Rattus norvegicus: one gene and its partner. The protein of the gene in region 1 purifies or fractionates together with the protein of each later gene. This does not show direct contact. Links are inferred from orthologs where the notes say so. Each region holds a gene or a part of one and is shown in the gene's direction. Other genes may lie near its edges. The genes, in order: Baz1b and Smarca5.

Region 1 (15,254 bases):
TGTCTGTAGTTGTCGTTCCTTAGAAGGCTGAAGCAGAGTGATTGCTTTGAGCCTAGTTGTTGAACAGACAAAACAAGACAACCACCTACCACCTGTTTGGGAAGCTCATATAACCTGGGTTGGTTTTGAAGTCTCCCTCTCCTCTCCTTCTCCTCTCCTCCCCCGTCCCCGCCCCCAAGTATATGTGTTTTGTGTGTCCGTATGTCTGAACTGTGTGCATTGGTGCCAGTGAAAGTCAGTAGAGGCATCAGATTCTATGGAACTAGAGTTATAAATGTTAGCTGTCATAGGTTCTGGGATTTAAGCCCTGATCCTCTGGAAGAGCAGCCAGTGCTCTTAACTCCTGAGCCCTGGCTTTGGACTCTTTGATGTAGCCTAGGACTACCATGAACTTTTAATTCTCCTGCTTCTACCTCTTAAGTTTCTGGAATTGTAGGCATGCAACATCTTGCCTTTTTATTTTCTTCTTGAAATAGAAATAAATTTTTAAATTGGTAAACATGGATTTGATTTTAATTTTTAATGTTTGTGTCTTCTTTGCTTGTGTGTGTCTGTGCAGCACATGTGTACAGGCCTGGTGTCCTCAGAGGCCCAGGCAATTGTGAGCCACCCTAAACAATAAAAACATAAATAGGTGATTTAGAAGAGTTATGAAGAGTCACTGATAACATTTTCTTATTGTTGGTTATGAGGTATCTAAATTGAAAAACTAAATGTAAGTGTACTTTTCTGGATAGATATAGTTTCTTCAGCCATGTGTGTATGTGTATATTCAAGAACAAAAGAAACTGTTTCAGATCAGATGCTAGGGTTAGTGAGGTGGTTTCTTTGTAGTTAGAAAGGGTCTTGTGGGCTTTAATAGGATATTTAGTACCACCTCTTCCTCTGGCCACTAGATGTCAGCAGGCATGTGCAAATGTCTCCAAACCCTGAACACGTCCAGTATGTACTGTCTGTCATTATACCTATAAAACAAAAGGTTGGGGACCATGTGAGACTCATATGATATTAACATCCACTGCTTTAAAACATACGGTTTTCTTTTTAAGCAAACATACTTTCTCAAGGTTTGGAATTTAATTTTTTTATGTAATATAACTATAGTTTGTAATGCTCTTATTAAATGAAATACTTGTAAATCTGGGAATAGTTATTTATATATTTCTTAAATCTTATTAATTAAAATTCGACAGTTTAGTAATTATAAATGTATTCTGTGTTTAATAGGCAGCATCTGTATATTGTTAGGCTGGGCATGGAGTCTGCTTAGGTTTTCTGAACAAGGAGTTGGTTTTTAATGTATTAAATCTAACATTTGCATTTCTCTTAGGTAAGAAAGCAAACCTAGGCAAAAACGCAAGTGTGAATGCACACCTTGGATCAGCACTAGAAGCTGTGGAGACCACTGTGCCCAAGCAAGGGCAGAACCTATGGTAAGAGCCCCGGTTGGCTTGCTCACTGTCACTCCTTCCCAGTGTTGAGGGAGAGCTATTTAACACAGTGATGTCAAAGACATTTCATGTCGCACATGTTCTGCATGTCAAAGCCTACTGTTGGGTGAGGGGTAGCTCCACTGGGAGAGCCCTTGCCTGATGTAAGTGAGCTCTGCGCTGCATCTCCAGCAGCTCTCAAGCAGTTTGTGGGAGTGAGTGCATTCCTGGAACCCAGCACTTGGAGATGGAAGCCGGACATATCAAGTCCAGGACCAGCCTGGGCCACATAATACCCTGTCTCAAAGGAAAGAAGGCCCAAAACCTCACTGTTACAAAACCACATGTGATCTTTGGGTAACCAGCTATTTCTCTCAAAGTTCAGATTTGGTTTCCCTTGCTTGTTCTACTTTGGTTTCTGTTGCTGTGATAAACAGACACTGTGGCCTAAAGCACTTTGAGAGGAAAACGGTCATTTTAGCTTATAGGTTCCCATCCATCCTCCAGGGGAGCCGGGGTAGGAAGGAGTTCATGGCAGGGGTCACCGAGGGATGCTGCTTCCTGGCTTGCTCCCAGGCTCACTCTCAGCTTGTCTTCTTTCCTTTGCTTAGGCATGGTACTTCCTGCCCACAGTGTGAAAGCAATCAAGAAATGCCCGCAGGCCTGTCTGATGAAAGCAGTTCCCCAAATTGAGGGCGCCTCTTAATAATAGTTGTATCCAATTGACAACCGAGGTTAGCCGTCAGACCTCTTTATAATATAATCTGGTATATTACGTGCTGGATTTACCCCCAATTCTTGAGACACATAGTATTACACTGTAGCTCAGGTTAGCCTGGAACTCACTGTGTAGCTCAGGCTGGCTTTGAGCTCACGCTAATCTTCCTGCTTTAGCTTCCCAATGTACTAGGATTACAGGCGTGCACCATACGTCTGCTGTGTAATGCATCTTATGTAGCACTGCCAAATGCTTCTGAATCAATTTGGGAATATGAAGACTTTTGAATTTGTTGATTATACTTTATAAAGTATGTCTAAAATAAAATTAAGGTAAATGTAATTATTAAGTAAATTTTACCCATGGAAAAAGATTAAAAATGACTTTTGGTTCCTGGGTATGTACAATTCTGCTTTTAGGCAAAGAGCTAGATTTTGTGAGGTCTTTACTACCTTTGATTATATAAAATATGTTTGGTGCAGTCACTTAGCTGTTTTTGTTTAAGGTATAATTTACTTTTTGACGTTGTTAGGACAGGTGTTCTGTTGTCTTTATACAGTCTATCATGAGCCATGTGATTGGCACACACACACTGTTAGTCCCAGAATAGAGGCTGAGGCAGGTGGATCTCTTGAGTTCAAGGACAGCCAGGGCTACACAGAGAGAAACCTTGTCTCAGAAAAAACAAACATGTTACTGTATAGTAGCAGAAGCCCTTCACTCTTCCATAACTTACAGTAAAGTTAATATCAGGTGTTCTAATGGAAAACATTAGACGGAAAACAGTTTGGAATTCTGCATTTCTCACTCACTGTCAGCCTGAGACTTCGTACACTGTTGGGTTTTCGTTGTATTTCCAACTTTAAGGTTTGTTTCTCCTCTTCAGGTTTCTGTGTGACAGTCAGAAGGAACTGGATGAGTTGCTCAATTGCCTGCATCCTCAGGGAATAAGGGAGAGTCAGCTGAAAGAGAGACTGGAGAAACGGTAAGTGCTTCTCAATGTCAGTGTCAGTGTGTGAGTCACGGTGTGCTTTTGAAGTGGGGTCTCTGTAGGTCAGTCTGGCCTCAAACTCACAAGAGATCTGCCTGCCTCTGCCTCCTAAGTGCTGGGATTAAAGAGTGCACCATGATACTCAGCAACAAGATGGGTTTGGTTTGGGCTTGTTGGCATGCTTGATTTCTGTGTGTGTGTTCTTTGATTTTTAATTCAGTAATATTATGTGTATGAGTGTGTTGTCTGTATGTATGTCTGTTCAATGTGTGTTTAGTGCTCTAGAAGGCCAGAAGAGCTGTGGGTATTCCTAGGATTGGAGCTGTAGATTGAAAGCCATTGTGTAGGTGCTTAAGCAATCAAAACCTCGGTCCTCGGGCTGGAGAGATGGCTCAGTGATTAAGAGCACTGACTGCTCTTCCAGAGGTCATGAGTTCAATTCCCAGCAACCACATGGTGGCTCACAACCATCTGTAATGAGATCCTGTGCCCTCTTCTGGTCTGCAGTCACATATGCAGGCAGAATGCTGTACATAAAAAATAAATAAATAAATAAATAAATAAATAAATAAATAAATAAAAACAAAAAAAAACCTCGGTCCTCTGAAAGAGCATCCAGTGCTCTTAACAGCTAAGTCGTCTCTCCAGCCTCAACCTGCATGCCTATTTGAAACAGGGTCTCCTTTCTGTATAGCACAAGATGACCTTCACCTTCTTACTCTCCTGCCTCTACCCTCTGTGTGCTGTGCAGGTCTCAAGGAGCTCTTGGCTAGAGCTGTGTACAGTCATACCTGACTTTTTGTTGATAATCTATTAACGTTACAAGATAAGTCTGTAACCTGTGATGTTCACATAGTTTGTAATCTTTTTGAGCATCATGTTTATTTGGGAAAATACTTTTAGGGTGGTATATATGATCCACGGGTAGCATCCTTGCTCTTTGACTAATGTGTGGCCTGAACCAAGCTGTGAGCCACTGTAGTTAAGCAGTGTTGCAAAAATGCATTCCTACCTGAATTAGTGTTCAAAACTGATCCGTCATCATTCATGGTAGACCAAAGATGGATGCCGTAACTGTCTACTGTAGAGAGACAGTGTGACGTCAGCTAGCACACCATTTACTCACTTACAAAGGGATGACAACTGGAGAGACGGCCACACACAGCACATGCAGACAAAAAACCTCATAAACATTTTTTTAAAAAAAAATTGTGAAGCCCTGGTTTGTGCTGCCACATGGGGTAAGTATCAAAACATTTGCTAATAAGCAAAGGAAGCCAGATATGAAAAGCCATGTATTGTATGATTCTGTATATGTGATGGGTCAGTATCCAATATAGAATAACACAGGAACAGAACCGGTTACTGGCTGCTGGGGGATGTAGAGAGCGTTTGCAAAAGTTTCTTTAGGGGCCCAGAGAGGTAGCTGAGTGATTAAGAGCACTGACTGCTCTTCCAAAGGTTCTGAGTTCAATTCCCAGTAACTATGTGGGGGCTCACAACCATCTGTAATGGATCTGATGCCCTGTTCTGGTGTGTCTGAAGACAGCTACAGTGTACTTATATACATAAAATAAATAGTTTTAAAGAAGTTTCTATAATTTCCTCCTTTCTCAATCTCAACTCCTGTAGGTACCAAGAAATTACACACTCCATTCATCTGGCTCGGAAGCCAAATTTGGGTCTAAAATCTTGTGACGGCAACCAGGAGCTCTTAAACTTCCTGAGGAGTGATCTCATCGAAGTGGCGACGAGGCTGCAGAAAGGAGGACTTGGCTACATGGAGGGAACATCCGAGTTTGAAGCCCGGGTAAGAGTGCAAGAAACCCCCTTGGGGAGCTGGGTTGCGTTCTGGTTAGGTTTGCTTTGGATGATACATGTGGAACCAAAATGTGTACATAAAGCTCTCTCGGTCATGGCTTTCGTTTGCTAAGTATTTATCAGGAAGTGGGCCAAAGCTAGTTCTTTCTCTTGCTGACATTGGATTGTTTTTCTTTCTGGCCTGATTTTTTTTCTCTTCAGGCAAGGTTTACTACATGGACCTTACAAAACTCATATGTAAGATCAAGCTAGCCTCACACACAAGTGATCTCTTGATTCTGCTTCCCTAGTGCAAGGAATAAAGGTGTACACCACCACACTTCTTTAAAAATTGGCATTCCTTATGTGACTGTCAAGATTGTAGTGCACAACGTTTAAAGCACAGTTTTGTGACCTGAAGGGCTGGCTCCATGACGAAGAGCACACAGCGCTCTGTGAAGCACCCAGCTGTACCTCCAGCACCAGACACGTTGGGGCACTGCACTCATGCACGCATATTCAGGCAGGCACATATGTGTGATGAGAAGTAAAATACATCTTTATTAAAAGTGTACGTCAAACATGGTTTTATAGCATGAGCTTGATCCCAGCACTGGGAAGGCAGAGTTAAGTGGGTCTTTATGATTTGGAGGCCATCCTGGTCTATATAGTGAGTTCCAAGCCAGCCAGTGTTGCCTAGTGAGACCCTGTATCAAAAATTGTTTTTAATTTTTTTTTCCTTTTCTTTTGAGACAAAGTATCACTGTGTAGCTTTGGCTGGTCAGGGACTCTGCTATGTTGAGCAGCCTTGCTCCACCTCAGGCCTACCTGCTTCTCAAGCACCGGAAGTAAAGACTTGGGCCACCACTCCCAGCTCCAGTTTATTTTTTTTTTTAAGATTTATTAATTTATTATGTATAAGTCCACTGTAGCTGTCTTCTGACACACCAGAAGAGGACATCGGACCTCTTTACAGATGGTTGTGAGCCACCATGTGGTTGCTGGGAATTGAACTCAGGACCTCTGGGAGAGCAGTCAGTGCTCTTAACCGCTGAGCCATCTCTCCAGCCCCTCCAGTTTATTTTTGGTGTGTGTGTGTGTGTGTGTGTGTGTGTGTGTGTGTGTGTGTGTGTGTGTGCGCGCGCGCACACACACACAGTTCTTGTCCTGGAAGCTGGAGGTGCTGGATCCCGTGGAGTTGGGTTAACTGGTGATTTTGAGTCTTCTGACGTGGGTGCTGGGAACTGAACTCTGGGTCTCTACAAGAGCTGTGCACACTCTTTAACTGCTCAGCCATCTCTGCAGCTTCACAAAGAATGTGCAAAGAAAGATAAGGATTTGGTGCCTGTCTCAACAGTCATAAAATTAACAAAGGTTTAGTGGAGGTGGGAAATGTAAAGCTTAGTGCTTGAGCCCAGCCAGGAAGTGGAGAGCTTGAGTCTTCTCAGATTGTCTTTGCTTTCTTGCCTGTGTTTTATTTCCGGTACTGGGGTTTAAAGGTATGGCCTCCCACATGCTTCACACAGCCTCTGTACCTCAACCCTCAAGTTTGTCCTGTACGCAGTGAGGAATAGTGAGTCCATACAGGAGCAGATGGAGTTTCAATCTTCTGGATCCTTTCTGGGGAAGTGCGAGTGTCAGGTGCTGGTAGATCCCAGTCTACCATGGAAGGCGTGCAGGACTCGCGGAACTGTTCTGGTACTTGGCTTGGGATGTTAGGAACTTACAGGCGGACTCTTTAATGGTCTCGTTCTCCTCTTGGTGTCAATTTAAAATCTTTCCCTAGGTCATCTCCTTAGAGAAACTGAAGGATTTTGGTGAATGCGTCATCGCCCTTCAAGCCAGTGTCATAAAGAAATTTCTGCAAGGTTTCATGGCTCCCAAACAGAAGAAACGGAAACTCCAAAGTGAAGACTCCACGAAGTCCGAGGAAGTAGATGAAGAGAAGAAAATGGTAGAGGAAGCAAAGGTATTGAGTTGCTGAGTCTAAGCACCGGGTTCTTGCTTTAGGGGACTTGTGTGAATGTAAGACGGAGAAGCAGAGAGCCGCCCGCTGACAGTAGTAGCCTCAGCTGTTTGTAGGGACAGCTGGTGTTGGACATACAGCAGGGTAGAAAGTACCCTGAGCGTGCTGTCCTGTGGCAGGCACAGCGTCACATGACAAGCATGACAGTGAGCTGAGTCCCAGTTCTTCCTTAACAGTGTGGCCAGCTTCTGCTGCGGCTCCATGCTCCTGCCTCAGCTTTACCAGAGAGGATTGTGCTTGTGTCAGCCAGCCATTGCTAGCTCAGAAAAGATGGACTTACATGGGGTTTCCACGAGTTTTCCTTTCACACCATCTTTGAACTCAACCCCTCCTAGCAGGCAAGTCTCTGAGTTCAAGGCTGAGACGCCAGGGCTATATAGAATCTCTGCCTCAAAAGGAAAAAAATTAAAGTCATTGTGAGTCCAGGCCATTTGTGCTGGTGGATAGGAGTGGCCCTTGAGCTAACTTATGAGTGCCAGGGTGTCAGAGCTTCCCAGCAGTAGTAGTAGTGGGCGGGGGCTGGGTTCTGAAGGAACCTAAGTGCAGATTAAAATGAAGTCTGTCTCACTGTGAGATAAATCTATCTAGTTCTCTTTTATTTTTGTTTTAAGCCAGTGGTCTCACTGTGCTGGCCTGGAACTCTATGTAAACCAGCCTGGTCTTAAATTCAGAGTTCTACCTGCCTCTGGGATTAAAGGTGTGTGCTACCATGCCTGGCCTTTGTTTCCTTTCTTTGTTTTGTTTTGTTTAGATCCAGGGTCTTAACATAGGCTTGAACCCGAGTCCTTTTACTCAACATCTCCCAAGTGGTAACAGGCGTGCAGCACCACAGGCAGAGACTTTTCAGAAGTCACTCTCAGGCGCTGCAGAGATGGCGGGGCAGTTACAGCCTTGGCTGTTCTTCCAGAGAACCTGGGTTCGATTTCCAACGCTCATGTGGCAGCTCACAACTGTCTTAACTCCAGTTCTAGCTGGTCCAACAAGCCGTTACGTGTGCCTATGTGATTACAAGCAGAAATGCTTAGGATTAAGTCCCTCCTCTTCCTAAAACACCTCGAGAGTTTGTACACAGTTAAGTTTCTCCTTCCTTTTCTTAGACCACAGTGGTATATGATTCAGGGTGATCATCTGGGGTGAGAGGCTGATTTACTTCACAATGGGACTTCACACCTAATCAGTATTTTACTAGCACGACTGTAAGAACTCTTCCTGGGTTTCTTTTAGTGGCCTTTAGCACCCAGATAGTATTCTAGGTGATCTCTGAGACAGCTTCAGCCTCGGGCTCGCGTGCTGAAGTTAGAGACCTAGATTAAATTTGCCCCAGTTTTGGTTTTAGTCGTATGTGTGTTGCACATATTTCTGTGCTACAGCAAGTGGAGGTCAGAGGACAGCCTGAGGAGTCGGTTGTTTGATCACCTAGGTCTTACTGTCGGATGGAGTTTTTTTTTTTTTTTTTTCTTTTCTTTTTTTTTTTTTTTTTTGGTTCTTTTTTTCCGGAGCTGGGGACCGAACCCAGGGCCTTGCGCTTCCTAGGTAAGCGCTCTACCACTGAGCTAAATCCCCAGCCCCAAGATGGATGGAGTTTTGATTGTTGGGCTTGGTGGCAGGTGGCTTTGCCCTGTGAGCCATGGTGCCCTTTAACCCAGCTTTGTAGGGACTTTTATTGGAAAGTTCTTGGAAAAATGTTTCCTTGCTATTTACTTTTCCTGTGAGATTTTCTTCTTACTGAGGACCAACAGGTAATTAAGTCCCATTAAGGTCCCTTTGTGTACTAAACCCTGAGCTGAAATAAATGTAAGCCCTAGACTGAGTGCAAAAGTGGAGAGCTTCTTGGAAAAATCAGTTAGGTTGCTTGCTGAGTGGTTCTGCTCTATTCTGTTCTAGCAATATCCTGCCCAGCAGCTCCCACCAAAGGTCAGCTTTGCCACAGCTCAAAATTTTCCACTGTCCTCTGCTTTGAAAGTTTCCACTTAGCAAGGGCCAGGGTTTCCTTGGCCGGGACCAGGCTGCTACATGAGTTTATGTCAGTCTCTCTTCTGGGCTCCAGTTTCTTTGGTTCTGTGAGATCGTCTCGCCGGTCCTTTTTGTAGTAATACATGATCTAGGGTCTGCAGTTTTTAAAAAGTTAAAAAGTAGCATTTATTTTCACCTACGTTGATATGTGTGTGCCAGCTTGTCTATGTGCACCGTGTGTATACAGTGCTCTCAAAAACCAGAAGGCGGCATCAGCTCCCCTGGAACTAGAGTTGTAGGCAATTCTCAGCTGCCTGATGTGAGCGCTGGGACCCGAACCATGGTTCTCTACAAGAGCAGCAAGTACTCCCAACCGTAAGCCACCTCTTCAGTCCTGATCTATGTAAATATAACAACAATTTTCTTCCTCTAAATTGAGAAAGATAATGCGTACTTAGGAAAATCCTGGGAGAAATCCTGCTCTCTTTCTATCTCTTCACTCCTTCTCTGCCTTGGTCTCCTTTAACATCGGGTCTTAACCATGTGGTCCAGGCTTGCCTCAAATCTAATTTTGTCTCAGCCTGTTGAGTGTGGAATAACAGATGTGCGTCACTATGTCTGGCGTTTTTTTGTCTGTATTTGTTCTGACAACCCTGTTGTCTGCCACTTTTTCATTTTGTTTTGTTTTTATGAGACAAAGTTTTACTGTCTCCCAAGTGCTGAAATTACAGATCTGAATTGCTGTGGGAGCCTCTGAGCACCGCAGACAGCATAGAATGGTCTGAAGGAGGCAAGAAGGCATGTTGAACATGACATCAGGACTCTGACCCCGGGCAACTTATTTTAGGCATTTTTAAGTACAGTACACTTTGGTGAAAACTTCCCTGTGTACAGTAAAGCACACAGAAAGCTAAAGATGGGAGGTGATTACATCAAAGTGGTGGGAAGTGCATTGACACCTTCCGTAAAGACGGATTGTATAGGCGACTGCTCTTGACAGCTTCCGTAGATGGCTTCTGTAGCTTGAAAAAAACAAACTTAGGTTAAGGGTTTAGGGGAGGATCTGGTGTGGCCTCCAGCCACTCAGATATCACAAAGGTCACCAGGCTAGAATGTATGTCTACTCCCAGCTTTCTAGGAGGATAACAGGTTATGCATCCCTTCCTCAAAGTAAAGCCCTGTATGCTTAGCATTCCAGGTTCCCTAGTGTTTATCCATGCGCACAGGACTTACGTGCCTTCTGAAAGCTTCCAGACCTGGCTCAACTTGCCTTTATTATTTTAGCTGTATAAATTTATAGTATGCATTATAACTCAGTGTATGTACATCTGTATAATATCAAGTCAGAGTAGCTAGTACTCCCCCTCTTTAAACACACTTCATTTAGTTACTTAAGTCATTCATTTGTTTGTCTATTTATGGCAGTTTCTTGGTGTGACCTTGGCTGTCCTGGAACTCACTCTGTAGACCAGGAGATCCTCCTGTCTCTGCGTCTTCTGTGTTAAGATTAAAAGCGTGCCTCACCACAACCTGACTAGATTTAGTTTATGCATAGAGTAAGGTTTGCCAGAGAGTGTGAGTGTGTGTGTGTGTGTGTGTGTGTGTGTGTGTGTGTGTGTGTGTGTGTGTGTGTGTGAAGAAGAGGGGGGATGTTGGATTCTCTGAAGTGGATTCTTGTAAACCACCATGTGGATACTGGGAACTAAACCCAGGTCCTCTACAAGAGCAGCCAGTGCTCTTCTTCTCCTAGCCATCTCTAGCCCCATTTGAATTGTCTAGAAGCTCATTAATACCTGGTAACTGCATATTTATGAGGTGCTGTGTAATATTTAAAGGTATGAATTTGCCTAGTGCATGTACACCCCATAGATGTTTCATGTGGCAGTCCCTTACAGTCCTTGGGACATGAGAACTTTCGCTTTGATTAAAGGCTGGTGACACACAGATGAGAGGAGCTTTATCTCAGGTTCACAGCTTTATAGATAAGACTCACCGTATCTGTGGCCTGAGTGGGTGACTCATTAGCCAAAGTTTTGTAGGGCGTACATTGATTGATCATGTGTGCTGGTGTTTATTCCTACGTCTAAATGATTTCACTGGAAGAGACATGTTGCTTCTCGACCCTACTGTATGCTTAGTTTTGGTGTGACCTCTGCCAAGCTTCTTTTTTATCCTTTGAAGCCTTGATGGGGGAGTATCATATAAGTGGGTGGCTTTAATGAAACTCTAGAATCCTCCGAATTCTGTCTTTACCCACTCAGACCCCTTTGTAATCTTTGAGGTCATGGTCATGCCATCAGGTTGTCTCCTTGCTGCTTAGGTTGCCTCTGCCTTGGAGAAATGGAAAACCGCCATCCGTGAAGCACAGACCTTCTCCAGAATGCACGTCCTCCTTGGGATGCTGGATGCGTGTATCAAGTGGGATATGTCTGCAGAAAACGCCAGATGCAAGGTTTGCCGGAAGAAAGGTACGCACTGAGGAGAGTTGATAGCTAAGTGTTCCACTCAAAGTTTTCTTTCTCTTTTGAAGGGATTTTGGTTTTTTGAAACAGGGTTTTTCTGTGTTGCCTTGGCTGTCCTAGAACTTGCTCTGTAGCCCAGACTGCCTGCCTGTCTCTCAAGTGCTGGGATTCAGGAGTGCACCACTACAGCCCACTCTCTGAAGGAATTTTTGTCTGTCATTTAGTCCTTCTGTGTGTATCTCTAACTGGGTAGGGCAGATTTCCCCTTTGCGATCTCCTGCTGGTGACCAGCATGTGCGAGCATCTGCGGTGTGTGAGCATCCACGGTGTGTGACTGGAGCAGCTGCCCAGTCTTCACTTTGTGCAGGAGCGAGTTAGTGGAGTAAAATCTGCAGTCCTCGGGCCTGTGAGCCGAGCTGAGGTCAGTGCTTCCAGCAGGGGGCAGTCTTTGCATATTGCGCACCCCGACCTCAGTCTTTAAAGCCTTGAGTCCAGGGCCACGCATTTGGAAATGTTTTTTACTTTTCCTTGACTAATTCTATGTCATGAATTAGCTTAGGGGTTCAGTTTCCAAAGGGTGAGGCACTGTGTAGACTTGATTGCTGTAAAACTGACTAGAGTGGCAGTCAGAGAAGGAAGTTAACCAGATCTGAGAACCCAGGCAGACATGTGGAAGAATTTGGGGGTCCAAGGAGAACAGCAGAGTCTCCAGCCATTGATTTTTTTTTTAATTATTTTAATTTTTTTGCTGCCTTTTAGTTAAAATACCCATACAATTAAACACGTTTTATTTACTTATTTACTTTTTTCTTTTTTTTTTTTTGGTTCTTTTTTTCGGAGCTGGGGACCAAACCCAGGACTTTGCGCTTGCTAGGCAAGCGCTCTACCACTGAGCTAAATCCCCAACCCCTACTTATTTACTTATTCTGAGATAGGGTCTCATGTAACTCTGGCGAGACAGAAACTCAAAAATACCTACCTCTTCTGCCGCCTCAGTGCTGGGATTAAAGGAGTGTGTCACGATGCCCAGGTAAACTTAGTGACTACTAACTGTCCTGCCCTGATTCTAGATAGTTCTGAGGAGATACATTAGGAACTCTCCCTAAATTGTCCAATTTTCAGAAAGTAAATGCATTTTTTAAAAATGCAGGCTGCAAAGATGACCCGGTAGGTAAGATGCCTGTGTGTAAGCATGGGGGCCAGAGCTCTGTGCTGCACCCACGTAAGTCCCCATCGGCCATGGCGGCCCTCCTGCCCAGGCTCTTAGGAGGTAGAGACAAGGGCTTTTACAGAACCAACCTTGAGCTCGGGATTCGAGAGAGAGGGGGCGGGGGGGGGGGGAGACTGACTGACTCAGTATATAAGGTGGACAGCCGTCAAATACGATAACTGATGTCAGCCTCTAGCCTCCATGTGCACACAGAAGCAGCTGAGTGATGGGTGTTCCTGTGATCCCATCACCTGGGAGGCAGGGCCAGGAGGAGCTCCCCCATTGTGGCTGAACGCTGAAACCTTATATTGAAAGAAAGAAAAAGGAGCTGGGGTGGTGGCCCAGCTCTCACAGGTGCTTGCTGCTTCTCCGGAGGACCCGTGTTGGGCAGTTCTTGTAACTCCAGCTCCAGGGGATCCTGTGCTCTCTATGGCTTCACAGATTCAAACACACATGGCATATGTTCCCACAGGCACTCATGGACATAAATTAAAATAAACCTTTAAAAAGGGAAGAGAGAAGTGCTGCCCCACGGCGTTTGTTCTGTTGTGCTGCCAACAGTGCTGTGTGTGTCTGTCTGCAGGTGAGGATGACAAGCTGATCCTGTGTGACGAGTGTAATAAAGCCTTCCACCTGTTCTGTCTGAGGCCGGCCCTCTATGAAGTACCAGATGGTGAGTGGCAGTGTCCAGCTTGCCAGCCTCCTACTGCCAGGCGCAACTCCCGTGGCAGGTGAGAAGTTTTGAAAGTAAGTGGGGGGCTGGGATCTGGTAGAATGTTCTCTTAGCATATACAAAGGCCTGGACTTCATCCCTAACTCTGCAGAAGTCAGGCATGGGGGTGCAACTCTGTTACCCAAACACTGGGAAGGTGGAGGCAGGAGGATCGGGAGTTCCGGGTCATCCCTGGCTACACAGCAGTACAAAGCCTTTCTGGGCCGTAAGAGACCATCAGATAAGTGCATGGGAAAATTCAGTTCCTCAGAACTGAGTGTTTCCAAGGAGCTTTAAGCTTACTTGGGTTCGAAGCTTGACCTTTTGTGGTGCGGATACAGGAGCTTAGATGCTATCCTATGACTTTGGTTTTGGGTGTGTGTATGTGTTTGGGTGTGGGGGGCGACAGCATTTAGTTTTACTTTTTAATGTGTATGAATGTTTTGTCTGAGAGTGTGTCTTAGCCATGGAGGTGAGAAGGGTGTATTTGTTCCCTTGGAACTCCAGTTGTGATGGTCACAGGCTATCATGTGGGTGATTGGAATTGAACCCTGGTTCTGAAAGAGCAACAAGGGCTCTTAACTGCCGAGCCACTTGGTTTCGTTTAGTGTTGACATTTCTGCTTTTCACTGTTAGCCCTGTCCCTTCCCTCAGTGTTTTGGTCTTTCAAGCGGGGTTTCTCTGTAGTCCTGGGTGTCTTTCAACTCAGATCTGCCTGCCCACACCTGCTCACAAGCTCCCCATTTAACTTTTTATTTTGTTTTAAATGTTGTGTGGGGGGGTTGGGGATTTAGCTCAGTGGTAGAGCGCTTGCCTAGGAAGCGCAAGGCCCTGGGTTCGGTCCCCAGCTCCGAAAAAAAAGAACCAAAAAAAAAAAAAAAAAATGTTGTGTGGACATTTACCTGAACGTGTATCTGTGCACTACATGTGTCCCTGGTGCCTATGGAGGCTAGAAGAGGGCGCCGGATCCTCTGGAACTCAAGTTACAGGTTGTTGTGAGCGTCTATGTAGGCGTCAGGAATTAAACCTAGGTCCACTGGAAGACCTGCCACTCTCTAACCCCTTGATTCACTTTATTCTCCGATAGCAAGAGCATCTTCCCCTTCCTTTAAATTTACTCATTGCCTACTTTACTGCCGCTTCTACAGGCGATCACCACTGAGTATCTGCAGCCAAACCACCGCCTTCGCTACCACGCTCCGTTTCCTTTCCTTGCTGTCTCTTTCAACATGGACTCCCCTGTACAGCCAAGCCAGCACCGTGAAGGCACCTAATGTCTTCCCAGTTAACTGTGGTTGCTTTGTACATTGACATTTGAGATCGCAAAAGGGCATCCTTACAGGCACTAGGCTGTCTCTTGTAAAGGGCAGCTGTTTGATTCCAACCACATCTTAGCAGCCTTGCTGGGTTAGTTCTCCCTCTGCCTCCATCCCCATGTCCTCTTGCAGGGTCACACGGCCTGTTGCTCTGAAGCAGTGTTTGGACCAGGTGTCCTGAGCGGGATCAGTTGCTTTGTTGTGTGGTCACCTGCAAGCTGTCTCAGCTCCGGGACAGGAGCTGGCCAAGTCTGCAGTGACACTTGCTGGGCTCTCTGTCCTCTCAGTCCACCCAGAGTTGGGGCAGCTTTGGTGTCTAAAGTGTTAACCTTATCTGACTTTTTTTTTTTTTTTTCCTTTTTTTTTTTTCCGGAGCTGGGGACCGAACCCAGGGCCTTGTGCTTGCTAGGCAAGTGCTCTACCACTGAGCTAAATCCCCAACCCCTATCTGACTTTTGTGAGGCAAAAGTAATAGTGTTTTGTACTGTTTGTGAGAGGAAGTAGAAGTTGTATTTTGTTCTTCGTCCCCTTCCCCCATGGGTGTCCCTTAAACCATTTTAGGCTTAGGACAGGGATGTACAGTGCGAAGCATAGTGGGCCTACCCCGGGGTCTCTCCCTTACTGGCTGTCTGTGTG
Region 2 (15,254 bases), on another chromosome or scaffold:
CTACAATTTTCTTTGTTTTTACATACATACATATATATATATATATATATATATATATATATATAATTTTAAACTATTTTTGATAATATCTTAACATCTATATCTTTTACTTTGGTGATGTATACCTCCCATTGTCCCTGGTTAGATTTGTCCTAATATATCTCTCCCTTCTCAACACTCACTCACTCACTTTCTCTCTCTCTCTGAATCCAGTGATTCCAATTATTGCACCTATATATGGGGCCTTCTACTGGAGCAAGAGCAATTTTCCCAATTATATCCCCAAGATTCTCCCTGCCCCAGTAGCAGTTACCTGCCAGTAGTTCTTGGCTAGGGAAGTGGGTCTCAACAGCTGGAGTTTTGACGCTTGATTTTGTGCAGGGAGCCACAGCTGTGCTGTGGGTGATGCCTGCAATAGGGTGATAGCATTCTTCTCCGGCCTCTGGCTCTTAGATTCCTTCTCCCACCTTTTCTTTCACCTTTTGATGGGTTAGAGAACCCTTGAGTGTGGTGGGAGGCTGGTGAAGATGTCCCATTTCAAGTTGAACACTCACTGTCACTTAATAGAATTTTATTTCTTTTCACCTAATAGGTCAGCAAAAAAAATACTTTCAATACTCTGGTGAATGCGAATGTCAGTAAATGAGTATAGTTGTGCTTTAGAGAAAAGGGAAATCGGTTTGTGGGCTGGTAGTTGATCTGCCCTTCGGATGCCTAAAATATATGTTTATTTTGTGAGTTGTCTGGCCATCTGAGGAAGTTAATTTTAAGGCTGAGAAAATTCAGGATCTATAAACTAATGTGGATTGTACAAATTCTGACTGTTGTCTTAGAATATTGAGTTTGTAAGTGCAATTTTGAATTATCTGCACGAGTAACTTTTTCTTAAACTCTTTGTGAGGATAGTTAATAGAAATAATAGAAATTGATAAATTATTAGAAATAGGGTGTTTTTTTTTTTTTAAATTAATGTATGAGTTTATGCATGTATACCCACCTGCCAGAAGAGGGAATCTAATCTTCTAATAGATGGTCATGAACCACCATGTGGTTGCTGGGAACTGAACGCAGGACCTTTGGAAGAGCAGTCAGTGCTCTTTAACCACGAACTGATCTGATCAGCTCCAAAAATAAGGTGTTTTGTTGGAGGAACATGGTTTACCAAAAAATAAATAGAACTAACATTCAAATTAATTTGATTGAGTGTATTTAGCTAGTTGAGTAATATTTAAATATGATTTTTATATCATTTGTGAAGAACACTTTTCACGTTTTTAATTTTCCTAATAAGTGACATTTCATTAATTTGATGGATAAAAAGATTTTGAAACTAAATTCAAGTGAAAGAAATGATTATCAAACTGATATATTACAATTTTGTCTGTTAGATGGTATCATATTTTTTTACTCATGTGGTTGGCTTTGTTGAACAACTATAATTTTCTTTAGGAAGCTTTCCTTGTATTTAATTTGATTAAATCTGGGAATTTAAGAAGTATTTATGTAATATGAATCCATATTATAGGTGTTATATTTAATGAGTATTTTAATTTTGCTTCTCAGTGTACCTGTAAAATGACATGGTAATTTAATTCTGCTAGGACCGAGCACATAGAATTGGACAAACGAAGACTGTTCGAGTGTTCCGCTTTATAACTGATAACACTGTGGAAGAAAGAATAGTAGAACGTGCCGAGATGAAGCTCAGACTGGATTCCATCGTAATTCAACAAGGTGAGACCTAGAACTTGAGATAACTTCTTTTTTTTTTTTTTTTTTTTTGGTTCTTTTTTTCAGAGCTGGGGACCGAACTCAGGGCCTTGCGCTTCCTAGTTGAGATAACTTCTAAGTTGAATTGACAGCAGCATGTTTCAGTCTGATGCTCTAGGGGAGATTTTAAGCACCTGGAGTCCAGCTAACAGTCAAGAAAGAAGATATATATATTCCAGATATTTTAAACTTTTTAATTTTGTCATTAATGTAATGAGTTTTGAGCTTGGATAAGTTGATTTTAGTATTTACTAGCTAGCAGGTTTTCTTCTAACCTGAACTTCAAACTTCACTTAAGTAGAATAAAAAGTGATAGTTTTTAGGAATTAATGGGATACTATATAAAATACATGACATTCAGTATAGCATATATTAAGTTGAGCTGTGGTGATTTATTAGCACCAGGGATACTGAACAAAAATATGTGTTTCCTGTGTGGAACTATTTACTAGGTGACTGTCAGGCGCTGGCACTGTTCTTGCAGTAGAGACTAAAGCAACAAGTAGACCCCAGTGTTACTGTTTTCAAGGAACTTTAGAATTTAGGAGGAGGGGGACTGCACTGAAGCTGTAGGACTAAAGAGGAGTGGTATTTTATTTGGTTCAATTGAAGGGAACTTGTACCAGATCAGCTGTTAGGAAGACACACTTTGTTTATTGTAGTTGTGAAAAAAAATTAGATTGGCTAACTTCCTACCAGTTGAAGGTCTTAATTTATTATGTCAAGTTCCTTTCTGTGTTTAAACTAAATTTTCAAAAGCTTTTGAGTTTTTCATATTAGATATTTAATTTTGTTATTTTTAAAAAATTAATCAGTTAATTAATTGATTGATTAATTGAAATGGTTTCAGCTGATGTAGAATTTGCTAAGTGGACTGGGCTGGCCCTGAACTCGGAGGTTTGCTGCCTCTGCTTTTCAGAATTGGGATTAAAGCACCTGATTTAATTAAAGATCTAATATATGAAGACTTTTGTTTTAGTGTTCTTAGCAGACGCCGATTGGTTAAGATGAACAATAACATCCTTCTGATGGGAAATGCCTTTATGTTTATATGGTTTACATATATATGTCAGAATTTGTGACATTTTCTCTCAGCTTTGATTTTCTTTTTCTTTTTCTTTTTTTTTTTTTTTTTTTGGTTCTTTTTTTCGGAGCTGGGGACCGAACCCAGGGCCTTGCGCTTCCTAGGTAAGCGCTCTACCACTGAGCTAAATCCCCAGCCCCTTGATTTTCTTTTCTTTTTTGTTTTTGTTTGTTTTTGAGATGGTCTCATTGTATAGCTCTGGCTGTCCTGTAACTCACTATATACTTTGGTCTGGCCTTGAACTCACAGAAATACCTGCTTCTGTCTCCTGAGAACTGAGATTAAATGTGTATGTCACTGTACTCAGCAACTTGATTTTCAAATATCTCAAACAAAAAACATTTTATTGAGTCAATAAAGCTTATTACAGTAGGTAATATATAATATGTAAGCTTTAGAAATACTTAACAACTTAGACAGTTGAAAAATACGGCATTAAATTTAACATAGTAGTGAATTTGATCATTTGTAAATAGTAAACAAATGGATAAAATTTCTAATATTTAATTTTTTAAGTTTATAGTAAAATAAAGTCTTAATATAATACAACACAATCTCTCTCTCTCTCTCTCTCTTTTTTTTCCCCAGGGAGGCTTGTAGATCAGAACCTGAACAAAATTGGGAAAGATGAAATGCTTCAAATGATTCGACATGGTGCCACACATGTGTTTGCTTCAAAAGAAAGTGAAATCACTGATGAGGATATTGATGGTATTTTGGAAAGAGGTGCAAAGAAGGTGAGACACTAGTATATGATAGTGTTTTGTAACCAATAGTTTATGAAGAAACCCATGACCTGACTTCTCCATAAACATGAATGCGTGTATGATTTTTTTACTGCAGATAAGAGACTGAGAACAGCCAGCAGCATCTGGAGGAGTCCAGAGCAGAGAAAGTAGACTGATCACGATAGCAGCATGTGTGGCCAGCCTGGGGAAGCAGCAGAGGGTAGAGAAAGCATAGTGAAAACAGCAGGACAAAGGGAAGAATAGTGAAAATAGCCAGGCTGTAAGATAGGAAGGATGAGCAGGGGAAGCCCAAGAGCTACATGGAGTTAGGTATGGGAGGAGAGGAGAAGGGTGAAGATGTCATGGTAACAGGTCTTTATGATATAGGGGAGCTTGGAGGCCAGCATGGGCTTTGCTGTGCAGATAGGTGCCAATACTAGAGAGGCTGCCAGCGGTTAGGGAAGTGACTCCCTTTGGTGGACTTCTGGCTTGACAAGTTTCTGAGGAATACTGGCTTTATCCAGCTGCAAGAATCCTATAGTCAGGTTAATGCAGTTTCTGCATATTTGCACTGCCTTTTGAATTTGAGGAATTTGGAGTTTCCTTCGGACCTAACAGTTTAGACAAAAACTATTTGAGAAAATATTTTCTCTGTGAATCATCAACTTCTTTTTTCTACAAAAACCAAGCTTTCATATACCATAAAGGAGTCTTTTTATTTTTTTTTATTTTTTATTTTTATTTTTGTGTATGGGTGCCTGTCTGTGCATCATGAGTGTGCCTGTTGCCCAATGAGGCCAGAAGAAGGCACTGAATCCCCTGGAACTGGAGTTAGATACAGTTGTGAGCTCCCTTGCGAATTGAACCAGATTGTCTGGAAGAGCGACAAATGTTCTTAACTTTTGAGCCATCTTTCCAGTCCTGTTTTGACTACAGGTCTTAAGATTATTTTACTCTCAATTTAAGAATTTTTTTTTTTCTATGTAGACTGCAGAAATGAATGAAAAGCTCTCCAAGATGGGTGAAAGCTCACTTAGAAACTTTACGATGGATACAGAGTCCAGTGTTTATAACTTTGAAGGAGAAGACTATAGAGAAAAACAAAAGGTAATTACTTCAGAGTGAAGCTTTACTGAACACTTGAATCATGTGTTAGTTGCTCCTTCACTTCTTAGGTTTTCATGGTTCAGTGTTGTGAATGTAATCCCTGAGTTATCTGTTCCCTTGCTTATTTACTTACGGGGGTGGTGGTCTTAACACAGCCCTGGGTGGACTTCCTCAATTTCTATCTGAGACTGGCTTGAATTCTAATTCCCTGCCTCTGGGTCTGTCCTTAGTGCTGCCATTACAGATGTGTGCCTAAGTTAGTTTTGGAGTATTTTTAATTTATATGATAAGGCTCATTGCGTACTATTTCTGAAAGCATTCTTTTTTTTTTTTTTTTTTTTTTTACACTCCGAAAGCATTCTTGTATAGTGTGAGTATCCTTTGGAACATTTCAGAGTAAACTAAATGGCAATAAAAAGGCCATGGGCTATTTTTCTTAGAACTTGAATTGATAATTAAAATGATTCAGTAGATGTATCTGCTACTACAGAGAGAAATTGTCATATGCTGTATAAAAAAATACTTGTCATTTTTTTTTAACATTTAGACAAATACTGACCATAGGTTTTGTTTTTTTTTTTTTTTGTTTTTTGTTTTTCGGAGCTGGGGACCGAACCCAGGGCCTTGCGCTTGCTAGGCAAGCACTCTACCACTGAGCTAAATCCCCAACCCCAGTTTTTTTTTTTTAAAGAAAATTATGTCTAATTTTTCTACTTACTTGGGTTGTAGCATATATTCTGTAGTATTTTATAAATTCTGCTTTGTGTGTTAATGACATAGTATTAAAAATGCCATAGTCCTTACCATTGTAGAGTTTGTAGTTTAGTATTTCATCAATATATTTTTATTTATACGTCAATGTAGATAATTTATTGCTTTGTATAATAAAATTACTGATTGGAACTTTTCCCCATCCTAGATTGCATTCACAGAGTGGATTGAACCACCTAAGAGAGAAAGAAAAGCCAACTATGCTGTAGATGCGTACTTCAGGGAAGCTCTGCGTGTCAGTGAGCCTAAAGCACCCAAGGTACGGTGACAGCATGGACACACTTAAATATGCTACATTCTCTAACACTTTCACAGCAGAGTAAAATTGAGAATTATGTTTGCTATTTTTGAATTGGTTTAAATGTTGATTAATGTCAGTTCATTTCTATTTAAAGGTGAGTTTTCTTTCTTGGAGAATTGGCTTTTATGGTTTAGGAAATGACTTAATGTGAGTGAGAGTTCTGTGTATTTTTGTTTTTTAACGGACAATACTGTTTTTACTTTTCTTTAGGCGCCTCGACCTCCAAAACAACCAAATGTTCAGGATTTCCAGTTCTTTCCTCCACGTTTATTTGAATTACTGGAAAAAGAAATTCTATATTACAGGAAAACTATCGGTTACAAGGTGATTGAAATTCTTCTCTTTGCATTTTCTTCTCAGAAGCACAACGGCAAAGCTACTTACTGACTTTTTTATTTAACTAACTTGAACCTAGTAGGAAATGCTGCTGTTGCCTGCTGTGCTCTAGTATATGAACTTTCTGAGTTTTCACTAAAGAGAAAATTTCATGAGTAATACTTTTTAAAGATGTAATATACTAGAAATTAAGCAATATGGTTAATTTTATGGGTATATTAAAAATGTGTAATGTTAATTTGTCAAGAATGTATGAAGCCTCTTAAAATTAACCAATTGATGGCTTTGAAAAACCTGTGTTAGGTACCTCGGAGTCCTGATCTACCCAATGCAGCACAGGCACAGAAGGAAGAGCAGCTTAAAATCGACGAAGCAGGGCCCCTTAATGACGAGGAGTTAGAGGAAAAAGAGAAGCTTCTGACTCAGGTATAACCTTGATTAACACAAAATTAAGTTATTTTGTAAAGTACTAGAAACAGCTTTAGGTTTGTTGAGTCAAACATAAATGCACATTTCTGTATTCAAAGAGAACAACTGGGCTGACAGTGTGATCTCGTACTGGAATGCTTCCTAGCATGTGTGGTATTCTAGGTCCAATCTGTAGCACTGCAGAGAAGGAAGGGAGCACAATTCAACATGGGGAAGCTTGGACAGATGCTGCTGGATTTGATTTGCATTTCTAGTTGAGGTTGTCGGTATGTACTGGGTATTAGAACTTATTTTCAGTACTGCCAGCTTTCTGTGTCTCTTCCAGGTTATTCTAAATTACAAATTTCTATTTGGTACTTAATTTAAACCATTTAAAAATTTTTACGTGTTCATTGTACTTGGTACTTTGTTACATGAGAAATATTTTGACACCAACTATACATTGGATGTTGAGTACATTCATCCCTAGTCCCCATACTCCACCCTCCCACTCCTCCTCATTGGTTGCCTTTGTTCTTCTGTTCTCTGGCATTGGGGTGTGTGTGTGTGTGTGTGTGTGTGTGTGTGTGTGTGTGTGTGTGTGTGTGTGTGTGTAAATGCCAGCTAGCAGGAAGGAAGCGTTCAGTTGAGTTTCAGCTTGAGTCCTCTATCTGCAACCAAATAGTATGCTGTCCCCAGCAGGAAGGTTTAACATCTATTTCTGATGGGCAGCCAGGAACACTGGCAATAGATTGTGTTGTTTTAGGGTTTCTGGGGCCTTCCTGATCAAGAACTTTTATGAGGGAGGTATCCTACATCTGGCAATGCGGGTTTGTTTGATCCTCATAGCTTTCATAGTCAACCCATGCAGGATGCTGTTAAAAAAAATACACAGTTATATACTCTTGTGTTCCTGTGTGTGGATACTTGTGGGAGTCAATACTTTTTAACCATGTAGATTCTGGGGATTGAACTCAAGTTAACAGTCGTGGCTACAGGTACATGCTGTACCATCTCGCTGGCTCTTTTAAAAGTCATTTTTATGGGCTGTAGGTAGTATATAGATAGTAGGTTTCAATATGACTTCTTAGATCTTTAGTTTTGGTTAACCCTGTCACCTGTTTTCTCCTTTCTTCTGCTCCTTTTCCATTTGATCATTACCACCCTAGTATCTCCTCACTTACTTTATATGTGTTCTGTCCTTTAAGCTTGTTTTTCTTGCATTTTTCTACTTGTTCATTTTTCTGTTACTTTTATTTCCCAACTACTAATAGTGTATCAAAGCTACGAAGAGGGTCATTGAGCTTTTCAGTCAGCATTCCGATTGTCTTTCATTTAGAGTTCGTTGTTAAGGTTTCTAAGAAATTTATAATGTATTGGTAAAAGTGTGTACGTGAAAATGTAACCAAAACTCCAAGGTAAGATAAAGTAAGGATTTTTTTTTCTGTACATCAAATGTGTTTGAAAGTAGCGTTGTTGTCTTAAGTTCTGTGTGCTGTCATTAAATATTTTGCTTATTGCTGTTTAGGGGTTCACTAATTGGAATAAGAGAGATTTTAACCAGTTTATCAAGGCTAATGAAAAGTGGGGTCGCGATGATATTGAGAACATAGCCAGAGAAGTAGAAGGGAAAACTCCAGAAGAAGTCATTGAGTACTCAGGTAATACCTTTACTATATTGTCACTCTTCGAGAGTTGAATAGAAGGTTTCTGGAAGCTTCCTGTTTTATTTATATATAAACCCCCCCGCCCCTTTTACCCATTTATTCTTTTCCAGCTGTGTTCTGGGAAAGATGCAATGAGCTCCAGGACATAGAGAAGATTATGGCTCAGATTGAAAGGGGAGAGGCAAGGATTCAAAGAAGAATAAGTATCAAGAAAGCACTAGATACAAAGGTACTGTGTGCATTAAATACGGGGGCTGTGTAACTCCAGACTTTGATATGATAACTACATTATAAGAAAAGATTTCTAATTTAAAATTTCCTTAATAAAAAAAATTGTTAACTTTTGTTAACATAGTTTCCCTGAGTACTAAATTGATAGCCTGGTTTAAAGAAGACTCCACTTCTTCCTAAGTGTCAGAAAGCTTAGACCTCATTTCTGTAGTCACAACAATGGTGAAAAACTATAAAAGTACTACAGGACAAAGAGCAGGTCAGAGTCTTGAGATAGAAAATTCTGATTTGAAATGGAACATTTATGGTTGGTTATGGGAAGGCTGAAGTAAGCTTGAAGTATGGATTACATAGGACTTGTATTTCATACACTGTGTATAAATTCTAGATTGGACGGTACAAAGCACCCTTTCACCAACTAAGAATATCGTATGGTACTAACAAAGGGAAAAACTACACGGAAGAAGAGGACCGCTTTCTCATTTGTATGCTTCACAAGCTTGGCTTCGACAAGGAAAATGTTTATGATGAGTTACGACAATGCATCCGAAACTCCCCTCAGTTCAGATTTGATTGGTTTCTCAAGTCCAGAACTGCGATGGTGAGTGTCCAAGGTTTGTGTAGTGTGTCAGTTCAGAATAAGTATATTATTCAGTTATTTGTTACCTTGTTAAAAACATCCTTGAAGGAGACTTTAGTTTCAGAAATTAATTTCCTCTAGTGTTCACAGCCACAGCGTGAAAACGTTAGAGGCAATTTGAAGAGCTTGTCTCCTTTAATGTTGTGTGTTTTAACATGGCTTTATATAGTAGGGCTAATTAGGTTCTCAGTGAGGAGAAGTGTTCACCTGAACATGGTGACTTTTTTTTGCAAGTAGGCAGTTGTGTAGATGGCAGTGTTCTTCCCGCATCTGTCTGTCAGGCGGGATGCTGTAGCTGGGTTCTTTAAAGTGGCTGGTTGGCATAGAACAATATTTTCTATACTGATTTGAGACTGGGTTTTGTTTGTAGTTTTAATGTCTGGCTGTTTCTAACAAGAGATGCCCATTTCTAACATCATCAAATTAGAATTCAAGAAAGCTTACCTTTGGATTGTATCTTGCTTTCTGTATTTCAACACCTTTAACAAAAATTGAAAAGTCTTGAGTTTGAAACATACAGCAGTAAGAAAGTGTATGCATTTGAAGTATCTTGTTAATGTACAATGCCGTGGCATTTTCACATTTGATCATTGAAAAATAGCTTTCCTTTTCAGTTGGTAGTAGAACTGTAGTTTTGTGACATCTTTAGAGAAATGTAACTAGCATATGGAACCTGCCCTGAAGATACTTATATATAAGTATATGGTTAGTTGAAAGATTGAGTTGCTATAAACTTTACTGTGTTTCTTTTATATAAGGTACTATTTTTGCATAACATATAAGAAATTATTTCATAATAGTGCTAGTGAGATAGTGTCACATACCACATAAGCCAGATCTGAAAACTGCTTTCTTAGCATGTTAATATTAAGGCATACAAAATAAACATATGTAGGTCTTTATGGTAAATAAGAGGCATAGTTTTTGACCAGGAGTGCAAAGGATTCACTGTGCCAGCAGTGTGTGCTACAGTAAACGTGATAAGACATTGTGCACCACATCCTTCGTGTGTGTACTGTGCCATACTTTTGTTTTGTTTCCTTTTGAGACAAGATTTCTCTGTGTAGCCTTGTCTGTCCTGGAACTTGCTCTATAGACAGGCTGGCTTCAAACTCATAGAGTCGTTTGCTTCTGTCTCCTCAGTGCTGGGATTAAAGGTGTGCTCTACCACCTGGCTTTGCACTATACTTTTTAGAAAGGAAACAAAACTTTGGTTTTTATTGTAAGCATTACTAAGCCATGCATGGATTTTTCTATCAGGTGGTTTAGAATTATTTTACTATGGCTGCTTGCGTAGGAGTTTTACTTACATATAAGAGATTAAAAAAACAAAGACACTTTTTTCCTGTAAATAAACAAAGCAGTGATGCAAATGGATCTTTACCTCATTGCATGTTACCTGCTGACTCTCCGTTACACTTCAGATCTCTTCTGGCGGCCACATAGATTTGTAGAGAGTGGAGGCAGATAAAATACATCGTGGGTGTTAGCCTTCCTGCTTGGATGGGAGTGGGCTTTATAGCTATGTGCATAACGGCCATAAACTAAGATGATGATGCTTTTAAAGAAAATATTTTTTTTTAATCTCTTAAGTTCTGGTTAGTTTTGGTTTTGAATTATGTATGCTAATCTTTAAATATAAGTAGTCCAGAGTTCCTTGGCATAGTTATTAAATGTACGAGATGTTGTGTTAGTACCTACATGATAAACGAAGGAACAGTTTGTGAAGAATATACACTATACTTTTGTTTGCTTATTGGCATATTACCACAGAGCTACACCCCCAGCCGTGTTAGTGCAGCTTAAAAAGAATGAAGTAAAAACATTAAATCCTTGGAGTTTTTGAATCCTCATAGTGTGGTCTGTGAGAAAAAGTGAACTTCCTTTTGTTTTTTAATCTACTATGGATATTTAAGGGATTTTTGTATTTGTTAAAATACATATTTAGATAGAGAAGTCCTATCAGCATGTACTTGGAAAAAACAAGTTTATCATATATATATTTGTAATGCAGGAGCTCCAGAGGAGGTGTAATACCTTAATTACTTTGATTGAAAGGGAAAATATGGAACTAGAAGAAAAGGAGAAGGCAGAGAAAAAGAAAAGAGGACCAAAGCCTTCCGTGAGTACAGATTATGTGAATCATACAGTTTTGGGTGTTTTATGCACAGTAGTGTGTATGTGCATGTGTGTGTGTATTATCCATATATGTATGTGTAGTAATACTCACTGTGTGGGGCGCAGAGGTTGACAATCAGATGCCCCTTTATTTTTTGATTAAAGAGTCACACTGAATTTGCAGCTTGCCATTTTGCTAGGTAGGCTGTTGTAAGCAACTCTTCTTTTCCAGACCCATGCACCATCATTGGGTTTTAGGATTTTACTGGATTTGGGGATCAGAGCTCAGGCCCTTAGACTTGCATGACAAGCAGTTTACCCACCAGCCATTTGTCCCGCAAACCCACCACAACCAACTTTTAAAGTATTTGAACATTGTTTTGTTTTTCCTTTGTAAATAATACATTTGAGTTGCCTTAAAATATAAACTGGGTTTGATACACTAAATATAGAAAACCATGTTACTCTGAGGAGCTAAAAGAAACTCTTCTGATTGCCAAAAGTACTCACTTGTTCTTGAGAATGCTTGAAATTTTAGGAGACTTTTAAGGAGTATTAGAATATTGAACATGGTGGCTTGACAAGTTCTATGGCAGTCTTCTAAGTTTTTTTTTTTTAAAGGTTTATTTATTTTATATATATGAGTACACTGTAGCCGTCTTCAAACACACCAGAAGAGGACATCAGATCCCATTACAGATGGTTGTGAGCCACCATGTGGTTGCTGGAAATTGAACTCAGGACCTCTGGAAGAGCAGTCAGTGCTCTTAACCACTGAGCCATCGCTCCAGCCCCCGTCTTCTAAGCTTTGATTTAAGTTTAGTTTGATTCTAAGTTTGATTCTAAGTTTAGTACTGTGTTAGTTTGAATGTAAATATTTCAGGAGGAAATAGGCATCCTGTTAGTCAGCAGCAGTAAATTATTTGGAGATTTGATAGTAGTTTTGAAAGATTTGTTATGAAGCCCTGCAGAAGAGTCTTAGGCTGTCAGTCATATGCAGTCACTGCTACCATGCTGCATCATGTTTGAGAACTAATTGTTCTGTTTGTTTATAGACACAGAAACGTAAGATGGATGGTGCCCCTGATGGCCGAGGAAGAAAAAAGAAGCTGAAACTATGAATGCGTTTTGTCTTATAATCACTAACTAGTAGTTCTTTAATTTACGGGTCTTCATAAGATGTTCTGTACAGTGCTCAACTGTTACTGTCATTCAGAGACATGAGGTCATCTGCTTACTGAGCTAGAAACATAGTATGTAGTTTCCCTTTTTTAAATGCAACAGCTGTGCTGAAATTTTTTTTATCATTAACAATTGAAGTAATAAAACAGGCTTCATTTATTAATAAATGTTTCATTTGATTTATTTTTCTAATAGTTTCATTTGTGAGGATTGTGGCTTTTTATCAGCTACTTTAACACTTGTATGGCTTAAAAACAAGCAAACAAGTAAAAAAAAAAAATGCAAATAACATTTGATTGGTCCCTTCTACCTGGTTTGTAATTACTTCACATTCTTTGCTGATTTTTTTTTTTTTTTTTTTTTTGGTAGTACTATTGAGTCTCATCTGGAAAGATTGTGTAAATTGCATTCTTGCTTATTATAGAATGGGGGTAAGGCAAGACATATTAATTTTCTGTGCATATTTCTGTTACACTTTCTGTTTCTATGGTTCTGATGTGAATGTGCCCTATTTTGTTGGATGAATGGCCTTTTTTAGTTGTATAGCCAAAGACATTTAGTATTTTCTGGTTCTTTAAGGTAATGTATTATTTTGTAAAAGGAATTTTTTTAAGTATTTGGAAAATATTTTGACAAATGGCCTGCAGCAGCCACAACTTAGAAAGATAATGTCAGAAGTGAGGTGATTTTTTTTTTTAATTTGAATGACCAAGCCAAAATGAGGTGAGAATTTGTCATACTGTTATAATACTAATAGAATGTACCCTCTCAGTTTATAGTATTTTTTGAGTTTTTAGAGTAAATGAAAATTTTATTTTATTATATTTTACAAATAACTTCTAAGTCTTAGTAGCAAGATGGAGTATAATTCCAGTTTTTATTTTCTATGGAATAGACTGGTGAACTGGAGACCTTGAAGCAGGAATACCCAGAGGCCTTTATGTGCTACACATCATTTGTATAAAGTTTTATATGTGCAAATTGGGTACATAAGCAGTTCTCCATTTTTCTAAGGGAATGCAATAAATGTAGCATCGTGAATAAATATAACTTTTATAATCCTTAAAGTGGTCTTTTCTTTCCATTTCTTTGAACTTTTCCCCAATTTTTTTTTTTAAGATTTATTTATTTTATATATGTGAGTACACTGTCGCTGTCTTCAGACACACCAGAAGAGGGCATCAGATCTTATTACAGATGGTTGTGAGCCCCTATGTGGTTGCTGGGAATTGAACTAGGACCTCTGGAAGAGCAGTCAGTGCTCTTAACCACGGAGCCATATCTTTATCCTCCCCTCCCCATTTATTCTTTAAAGGTTTATAACTTCAATCTTTCCCTATAAGGATAGTCAGTTTTTCTTAGATCTCTCTCTGAAACTTAATTTTTGTGTGTACACGAGTCACTAAAAAGACTGCTGTGTGTACTATGACGGTCTGATGTTTTCTTAATGTAGGGTTGCTGGTGTCAGGGACATGCAAACAGTCCAGAAACTAGTAGAGCAATTTGAATTTTCATTATTCAGAGTTAGTTAATATTGATCCTTAGATGTGCCCTCATTTTGGAAGAAATAATCAAAAGCATTTTAAGATTGAAGAAAACTATATAAACAAGGTCACAAAATTGAGTTTGGAAGATGGGAGGAAATTGGGAGGTGCTGTGCGTGAAGGAAGCTGAACTGAGCATGTGTCTGTTAAGACCTGGATATTTAAAAATAGAAGTATAAGGGAAATCTTAAGTGAAAAAAATTAGCATTATGATTTGGCCAGTGCTGGACATTTGTTCTAGAGTCCATTTGCATAGCACTCCATGCTCCTCTAGAAGGAAGGAAAGAGTGCTTTAACCCTGAGCTACCCCTATCTTGAGGAGAGGTTGCTGGTGAGGATGAACTGGGAGCCACACCACAGACGAGCACAGTGGAGGCATTGCACCGAGCTGTTGAGATGTGATGCATAGAGTAGACTTAGGAAAGCAATGCTTCAAGGTATTTTGCTAAAGGAAAAGGAAATCTTAGTGGCTGTAGCAGCAGACTTCCTTACCAGTGAAAGAGTCCGCCTGTCTCCCCACACTGCGGAACCACTGAGCGGTAATGTTTCTAGGTAGCCAGCCAGTGCTTCCAGGCTGGTCCTGAACAAGTGAGCCCTCTGCTTCAGCGTTCTAGCTGTGATCCTGGGTGGAAGACAGTGCATATAATACCTAGACTGAGAAAAAGAAAAGTGGGGTTGCGGATTGTCTCCGTGGTAGAGCGCTTGCCTACCTGTGTTCAGTCATCAGCTCCAGGGGGAAAAAAGAGAAAAAAGTATATTTTTCAGGAAGAATGCTTCATTACTAATTTTTCCCATGTAATTCTCATGTACCTCCCAAGGGCTGAGATTACAGGCATGCTCTAATATACCTAGCCAGTTAGATTACTAAATGTTAGCATTTAACTCGAGTCTAACTACATTAGAACTGTGTTTCTTTAGGACGTGGCACCGGTGGTGTCGGCAGTGGCAGTCTGTGAGGAGAATCACTAGTATGGCAGGTATGCACAGGCTCTGGCGTCAGTGTCCCACAGTCCTAAAAGTAAATCACAGGTTGTGACCCAGAAGTTAACGGGCTACATACAGGCATGTTGAATTTGAGATTATGTCATTTAGAAGGCCTCAGAACATCCATGGGTTAGTGTTTCCCTTCCACTTTAATGGAATAACTGTAACAACTTAAAACAATTAACTTTTCCTGCTCTCAACTTTAATCAGTCGAATGTCTCAGACAGTAAAGGAGGTTGAACATTTGGATAAGTCTGAATAATTAAACGAAGGCTGACGTGCCAGCTAGTTTTTAGCTATCAACTTTGCATAACCTAGACTAACCTGGGAAGAGTCTTAAATTACATTTATTTAATTTGTGTGTGTTTGCGCTTGTGTGTGCG

Evidence for each region.
Region 2: the proteins of Baz1b (region 1) and Smarca5 purify together in Homo sapiens (affinity purification with western blotting; 11 studies listed by BioGRID and IntAct, with this or other methods). This does not show direct contact. The link is inferred for Rattus norvegicus from reciprocal best matches to the Homo sapiens genes BAZ1B and SMARCA5.

Annotation. Positions count from the first base shown.
Region 1 is NC_086030.1:27,074,326-27,089,579, reverse strand, and holds part of Baz1b (tyrosine-protein kinase BAZ1B), read left to right. Parts: intron 1-1,330; coding exon 1,331-1,433; intron 1,434-3,034; coding exon 3,035-3,133; intron 3,134-4,771; coding exon 4,772-4,949; intron 4,950-6,725; coding exon 6,726-6,908; intron 6,909-11,238; coding exon 11,239-11,386; intron 11,387-13,173; coding exon 13,174-13,321; intron 13,322-15,254. UniProt on the Homo sapiens protein: Atypical tyrosine-protein kinase that plays a central role in chromatin remodeling and acts as a transcription regulator. Involved in DNA damage response by phosphorylating 'Tyr-142' of histone H2AX (H2AXY142ph).
Region 2 is NC_086037.1:44,195,551-44,210,804, forward strand, and holds the end of Smarca5 (SWI/SNF-related matrix-associated actin-dependent regulator of chromatin subfamily A member 5), read left to right. Parts: intron 1-1,563; coding exon of another isoform or gene 1,564-1,587; exon of another isoform or gene 1,588-1,601; coding exon 1,602-1,734; intron 1,735-3,442; coding exon 3,443-3,591; intron 3,592-4,569; coding exon 4,570-4,689; intron 4,690-5,608; coding exon 5,609-5,719; intron 5,720-5,971; coding exon 5,972-6,085; intron 6,086-6,400; coding exon 6,401-6,523; intron 6,524-8,033; coding exon 8,034-8,166; intron 8,167-8,282; coding exon 8,283-8,401; intron 8,402-8,791; coding exon 8,792-9,004; intron 9,005-11,057; coding exon 11,058-11,165; coding exon of another isoform or gene 11,166-11,294; exon of another isoform or gene 11,295-12,216; coding exon 12,217-12,282; 3' UTR 12,283-13,417; downstream 13,418-15,254. UniProt on the Homo sapiens protein: ATPase that possesses intrinsic ATP-dependent nucleosome-remodeling activity.